Linked DNA regions of Rattus norvegicus. The protein of the gene in region 2 interacts with the protein of the main gene of each other region in a biochemical or structural test. Links are inferred from orthologs where the notes say so. Each region holds a gene or a part of one and is shown on either strand. Other genes may lie near its edges.

Region 1 (2,672 bases), on a different chromosome or scaffold from region 2:
TTCAATAGTATTTGCTGCCTGCCATTGTACACATAAACCACCAGCCATTCTTAGAGAGAGGTGATGGGCCTATTGTAAGTATCTTAAGTTTCCCACCCTATTTGCTAGAACTCCTTTGTTTTATATAGCTGGAAAGTGGGGCTGTCAGTATAAACTAGCCATTTAAAATTAGTATCCAAAGACAGTAAGTTGGATGGGCCATAATAGATAACTGCCACAGTACCCAACACATAAAGACGTAGTGGCATCTTAGTAAACTGGTTTATACTAAAAACACTTTTTTCAAACTTAGTGCTTGGTGCTGGCACCAACTCGAGAACTGGCACAGCAGGTGCAGCAGGTCGCTGCTGAATATTGTAGAGCTTGTCGCTTGAAGTCTACTTGCATCTATGGTGGTGCTCCCAAAGGACCGCAGATTCGTGATTTGGAGAGAGGTATATAACCATAGAGGGTGCTCTTTGACACTGGTGGAGATGAAAGTTTTACATATTGTAGTTATATCTCCTTTTTATTCATTTAATTAAAGGTGTGGAAATCTGTATTGCAACACCTGGAAGACTGATTGACTTTTTAGAGTGTGGGAAAACCAATCTGAGAAGAACAACTTACCTTGTCCTTGATGAAGCTGATAGGATGCTTGATATGGGCTTTGAACCCCAAATAAGGAAAATTGTGGATCAAATAAGAGTAAGTGGTCTCTATGTTACTGTAAAAATCAGTTCTAAGTTTGCTCTTAGTGTTGAAGTCTGACTTACTTCCCTAAATCTTCAGCCTGATAGGCAAACACTAATGTGGAGTGCAACTTGGCCAAAAGAAGTAAGACAGCTTGCTGAAGATTTCCTGAAAGACTATATTCATATCAATATTGGTGCACTGGAACTGAGTGCAAACCATAACATTCTTCAGATTGTGGATGTGTGTCATGATGTCGAAAAGGATGAAAAGTAAGTTTAAGTTAACAGAAAATCTTGCTTTTATACAAGAATAATCAGTTTTGAAAATTGTCTGAAAAATAACATTAAGTAGTGTTTTTAAATCAGAGTGTTAGGGATATAGCTTGGTGAGATAAAGGACTTGCTTGGCTTGCATGAAATGGGTTTTTGAACCTAGCCACTGCACAAGCATGCACAAAATGGTACATCAATCTTCATGAAAATCTGTTCTTCAGGGTATTGTGCATGTGACAGCTTTGTGGGATTGTTGTTCTGACTTACATTGATACATGGTCAATTGATTTAGCACAAAAACAGGGTTTGTGGTTTGTTTTTTAATCTTTTAAAAAATAGTGCTTTTCTTCATCTTTAGACTTATTCGTCTGATGGAAGAGATCATGAGTGAGAAGGAGAATAAAACCATTGTTTTTGTTGAAACCAAAAGAAGATGTGATGAACTTACCAGAAAAATGAGGAGAGATGGGTATGTGGTTTCCTGAAGCAAAGCAGACTTTAGGAAAGGGCAAAAGTATTTTGATGAGAAACAGTGTTCTTGGAATCTTGTACTATAATACAGGCATAATTGTGTGAATTATTTCTAGTGACAGTTGTAGTAGGCTCGGGGTTGTGATGTTTAGCCAAGATGGAAGTGCAGTGGGGGTGAGTATTAGTAAATACTTGACTGAGTATTAGTAAACACTTGACTGAGTATTAGTAAACACTTGACTGAGTATTAGTAAATACTTGACTGAGTATTAGTAAACACTTGACTGAGTATTAGTAAATACTTGACTGAGTATTAGTAAATACTTGACTGAGTATTAGTAAATACTTGACTGAGTATTAGTAAACACTTGACTGAGTATTAGTAAACACTTGACTGAGTATTAGTAAACACTTGACTGAGTATTAGTAAACACTTGACTGAGTATTAGTAAATACTTGACTGAGTATTAGTAAATACTTGACTATTAGTAAATACTTGACTGAGTATTAGTAAATACTTGACTGAGTATTAGTAAATACTTGACTGAGTATTAGTAAATACTTGACTGGAGTTTTAAGTTGGGTGTGCTGATGATAATCTAATTTTTATATAGGTGGCCTGCCATGGGCATCCATGGTGACAAGAGTCAACAGGAACGAGACTGGGTTCTAAATGGTATGTATTTCAAATAAGATGCGATTAGTTTGTGGCTTGATAAAATGATTTGCTTGCATTAATGATTATTCGTGTTTGTCTTTATAGAATTCAAACATGGAAAAGCTCCTATTCTGATTGCTACCGATGTGGCCTCCAGAGGGCTAGGTTAGTACAAAATCGAATTCATGGCTTGGTTTCCCAGAAGATCTCCATGTAGTTTTTTTTAAAGAAAGTTTATTGCTTTCTTTAACCTCTGCATTTTTTCTAAGTTTTTTTCACATAAAGGTGCAGTCTTTGTGGCAAGGCCTAGGCATGACAATCGGAGGACTCGAGGGGGATGGAGGACTAGTGATCGGCTGGCTGCTTCCAGTCGATTAGAGAGGTGAAAAGCTGAAAGTGTGCCAGTAATCTTCAAAGGGCAGAACATACCACCTCTGCCCCATAAACTGTTCTCTCCGGGGGAAAAAAATGGAAGTTACCTCACAGTTCACTGCCGTGGTATTTCATCTGTCCCATGCTTTGCATGATTGCCATGGTACAGCATTGTTTCAAACTGTTCACTGTGATCTGTGGGTCTTTGAGTTTCAGTGAGTTTG
Region 2 (4,256 bases):
TCCTGACAATGGTGCTGCTTGGAGGGCCTGAAGAGCTTGTCCACCTTGAACTAGCTGAGGCTGAATAAGAATTTGTTGTTGCTGTGTCTGCTGACTTTGCTCTCCCTCTTTTTGCTGACTTCCTTGCAGTGATCCTCCTGATGTCTGGTTCTGCTGGATGTTTAGAGAATCAGACCCTTGCAGCCCACCAACTCTCTGGGATGTCTGGCCTTGAGAACTAGTCCCTGATGATCCGCTGCTGGTAAAGTTCATAATTCCCATGTTGCTGGTGGTGGTAGTTGTTGAATAGCTGTTGGCATTGGTGAAAAAGGAGCTGGAACTGGCTTGTGATGACACCAAGCTGGCAGAACTGATGGCAGTCCCTGAGGTGACAGGCTGTGAGCCACTCTCCTGGGATCCAGAGCTGCTGATCGTGCCTGCCTGAGAGCTGGGAGTCAGGGTAGCTGCAGAAACGCTGTTGACAGGTAGCAAGGTGATGTTCCCATTCAGGGCCACTGGTACATTGGTCACATACTGAGTCTGTCCTGAGAGCACATTATTAGCAAGGCCTTGGAGGGGGACAGCTTGCTGGAGTAGATTTGGCATAGCAGCAATAATGTTGCCCCCACTTCCTCTATTTGTGATGATCTGTTGATTTGCACCTGGTATGATCTGTATTTGACCAGAACCATCCTGCTGCACTTGGGCCCCAGTGGCAGCAAACTGCAGCTGTTGCCCATCAACAGTCTGGAACTGTGGGATTACTTGATACTGAATATTAGGCATTACTCCAGGTAGACCTGTCAGAACTTGCTGGTTCTGTAAGTTGGGGGTAGCAGCCACAACATACTGCCCACCAGAGACTGTGCGGTTCTTGGAAGACTCACTGCCATTGCTGCCATTGGTACTGTTGCCACTCTGTTCCTTTGAGGTAGGGGTAGCCCCAGAGGAGGAAGAGATGATCTGCCAGCCATTGGCACCCTGTGAAAGTTGTGTGGCTGTGAGGTCAAGTTCACCTGTGCCCCCTGACTGACTCGGACCCTGGGAGTTGTTGCTGTTCTCATTGGGTGACTCAATTCTGCTGCAGGTTGCTGCCAGCAGAGCCAAAGGAGATGGCTGGGATTCCTGGCCAGAAGAGAGGAAAGGAGTTAGTGGCACCCAATAGCTGGCCTAGGGGGCAGTATTCAACAGACAAACAGCAACAATGCAGGCATATAAAGAGCAAAAACCAGAAACAAAATGCTAACTTCTGTGTACTGTTCCAACTTTCCTATTTGGGGACCCTCTAGATCACCTATCTTTCTGTGTGTACTTCCCTACTGTACTTTCTCCCAGAGTTTTTGGTTAAGGAGGTTTCTAAGAATACTTATACCCTTTCAATACCTTCCCCATCTTTGATCACTCACCTGCCCTCCTCCGCCACCACTGCTGCTGCTACTGCCTGTGCTGCTGCTTCGAGTCTGAGAAAAGGCGGCACCACCACCGTTCCCGCTACCCCCGTTATTGCCACCAACACCTTTTTCAATCTTCACAGCTGTCACTTCATCCATTGAGTGATCTTGGTCTAAAAATAATTACAAAACAAATAAGTTGAGGGGGAAAAACATTAAGATTTAAAATTAACGTTTTGACCACCAGCAATGACTAATAAAATGTTTTTTTTTAAAGGTATTAGTCAGATACAGCTAGTTATGGTGGTAGGCCTAAAATCCCAGTATTTTGGAAGTGGAGACAAGAGTTCAAAGAAATTCTCAGTTACACATTAAACTGAGATGCCAAAGCCATAGGCATGCAGAGCAGGCACATGGCTTAATGGTGTCCAAGACAGGTCACTATTTTCCCAGGCATAAATTAACCCCAGAAATGACTCAAAAATTGCTTTGGAAGCCAGGCATGGTGACTCACACCTATAATCCCAAGACTTGGAAGGATGAGCCAGGTGGTTCTAGGTCTGCCAGACCTACAGAGTAAGAACTGATCTCAATGCAAACAGCACTTTTGAGGGAATTTGAGAGCAGTGTCTCAGAAATTAAAAAAAAAAAAAAAAAAAAAGTGGGGCCTAGTGATGGCACACTCTAATCCCAGCACTCAGGAGGAAGAGGCAGGCAACTAGGTAGCTAAAAGTTTGAGGTCTGCATAGTAACTTCGAGTTACTACGAGTACCACATAGACCCTATCTCAAAAAGAAAAACAAAAAAGCATCCTGGAAGGAAAAGGAGACCCAACACATAGGTGGATGGAAAGTGGGCTAAAATTAGGACTAAAAGAGATGGAGACAGATTAAGTGTAAACAAAAACAGGAAGGGGCCGAGAAAGGGTAAATTGTAAGTGGAGGTGAGGAAACATCTGAAGAGGGCAGGTAAGAGGCTAAAATGGTTTAGGGCTTAGAACCCAGGTTTGGGGCTGAGGGGCCGGGCCATAGAAGGAAGGGGCGGTTTCGGGGTTAGGGGCGTGGCAAGGGCGGGTCGGATGGGGGAAGGGAAATTTACGGGGGTGCGGGGGAGGGCCTGGAGCAGGCTGGGACCGGAGGGCGGACCGGGGAGGCGGTTGGCCCAGGCGGGGCCTGCACTGGTCGGGCCGCCCCCGCGGCGCCAGCCCCCGACAGGAGGAGCCTCAGGCGGCCGGCCGGGTAGTGGGGGGTAAGGCCCGTCCCCCGTGGCCGGGGCGGGCAGGGGGCGGGCGAGGCCAGGCTGCCCCCTCCCCCGGGGCGGGTAGCCCATCCCCCTCCTCCTCCGAGGCCCCGCCACTGCCCCTTCTCCCTCCCTTCCCTCCGCCCCGGGCGGGACCAAGGCCGCCGCCGCCGCCTCCCGCCCGCCCCCCCTCACAGCGGGGACCGCCCGGTCGGCCCTCGCGCGCGCCCCCTCACTCCCCTCCCACCCCTAGGCTTGGAGTGGACTCATCCTTACCGCTCATGGTGGCAGCTGAGGGGCGAGCTCAAGGGGGTCCTGTCCGGGGGGGTTGGGGGGGGCCGGGAAAAACGCGGACGCTGACGAGGCAAGCGAACCCGGACCGGACAGGGAGGGGGGGGTAAGGAGGAGGGAGCAGCGCGCCACAAGCCCGGCCTAGTCCCCGCCCCTTATCTGCTGCCCCTCCCAATGAAGGAGGGTGAAAGGAGGGACTTGCAGAGGAAAGGCGGGCAGTCTACCCAATGGCAAGACTCGCTCTCTCTCTGAGGCGTGTAAGACCAAGTTGCGTGCCTGGTTTCCGCCCAGAAAGGCCGCCCTCTCAGTTTTAACAACCAATTAGAGACTCGGGAAGTGGTGATGGGCGGGATGAGAAGATGGACTTGCAGAGAAACCAGTCAACCACCAGGCGGGCTCCGTGAGCGGTGGGGATAGGAGGAGATTAGGTAAGAAAGACAGGACAACGACCAACCAGAATCTTGGGCATGCCTGGGCAAAGTCCGTTTAGGAGAAGAGTAAGAAATAGGCCGGAATAGGACAGGATCAAGCTTTCTAAACCAATCAGAATTCAGGCGGGCAGTTAAGAAAGTTCTGATTGGACAACAACTGAAAAGAACCGGAACAGGGCTCATATTGACGTGAATGAACAGCCAATTAAACGCCGAGTAGAAGGTGAAGGCTGGAACTTGGAATGGGGAGAGGAGAACAGGCTTCCCCCTCAGATACTCAGGCCAATGAGGCAGCGAAAGCAGCCTGGCACCGCCTCTAGCTTTGGCCAATAGTCGTTAGAGGGCCGCCCCTCATGAGGAGGGAACCGGGCTGTGCCAAGTGGAGTTGGTCGCCATGTTGGCCCTCCTCAAGAGGCTTCTTTTCCTCGTTAGGTGGTACGCTTTAGCGGAGCCTTGCAGTTCCACAAGTGTCAGCGCTGAGACGCGCGAGGGCGAGGGTGTCGCGTCACCCGGGACCGTTCGAGTTTTCCCTTCACCGCTCCTACACAGCACCTCTCGAATGTCACCCCTGCCGGGATGGGCGGGCGGCTCCCCCTCGCCGTGGGTGGAAGCCCTGTGGCGGCGGGCGGGACGACAGCTTGGTGACGGCACACGAAAACCCAAGTCCACTGAGCTGAAGGCTTTTGGGAAGCTCTAGCAAACGCCATTTTCTTAAGCTGCCCCAGACACGCTAAACCACGGGCCAGGCAGGGTTCACTCCCATCACTCGGCTTTGAGAATGACGCACTCTGGAGAACTTCGTGAAGCCAAGCTCTCAAAATACTCAATTTACCCTCCTAGTAGAAAGCACGGTAACCTACTTTTGCAATCAAAAAGGTTAGAGAATTTGCCCTAGGCACCTCAATCTCTGGCCTCCATTTTGCCT

What was found.
Region 1: the proteins of Sp1 (region 2) and Ddx5 form a complex in vitro, tested with the Homo sapiens proteins (2 studies listed by BioGRID). The link is inferred for Rattus norvegicus from reciprocal best matches to the Homo sapiens genes SP1 and DDX5.

What each region holds. Positions count from the first base shown.
Region 1 is NC_086028.1:92,226,339-92,229,010, reverse strand, and holds part of Ddx5 (probable ATP-dependent RNA helicase DDX5), read left to right. Parts: intron 1-8; coding exon 9-74; intron 75-292; coding exon 293-434; intron 435-526; coding exon 527-687; intron 688-771; coding exon 772-944; intron 945-1,305; coding exon 1,306-1,416; intron 1,417-2,032; coding exon 2,033-2,094; intron 2,095-2,181; coding exon 2,182-2,241; intron 2,242-2,672. UniProt on the Homo sapiens protein: Involved in the alternative regulation of pre-mRNA splicing; its RNA helicase activity is necessary for increasing tau exon 10 inclusion and occurs in a RBM4-dependent manner. Binds to the tau pre-mRNA in the stem-loop region downstream of exon 10.
Region 2 is NC_086025.1:135,418,724-135,422,979, reverse strand, and holds the start of Sp1 (transcription factor Sp1), read right to left. Parts: upstream 2,931-4,256; 5' UTR 2,893-2,930; coding exon 2,886-2,892; intron 2,742-2,885; exon of another isoform or gene 1,885-2,741; intron 1,544-1,884; coding exon 1,386-1,543; intron 1,105-1,385; coding exon 1-1,104. UniProt on the Homo sapiens protein: Transcription factor that can activate or repress transcription in response to physiological and pathological stimuli.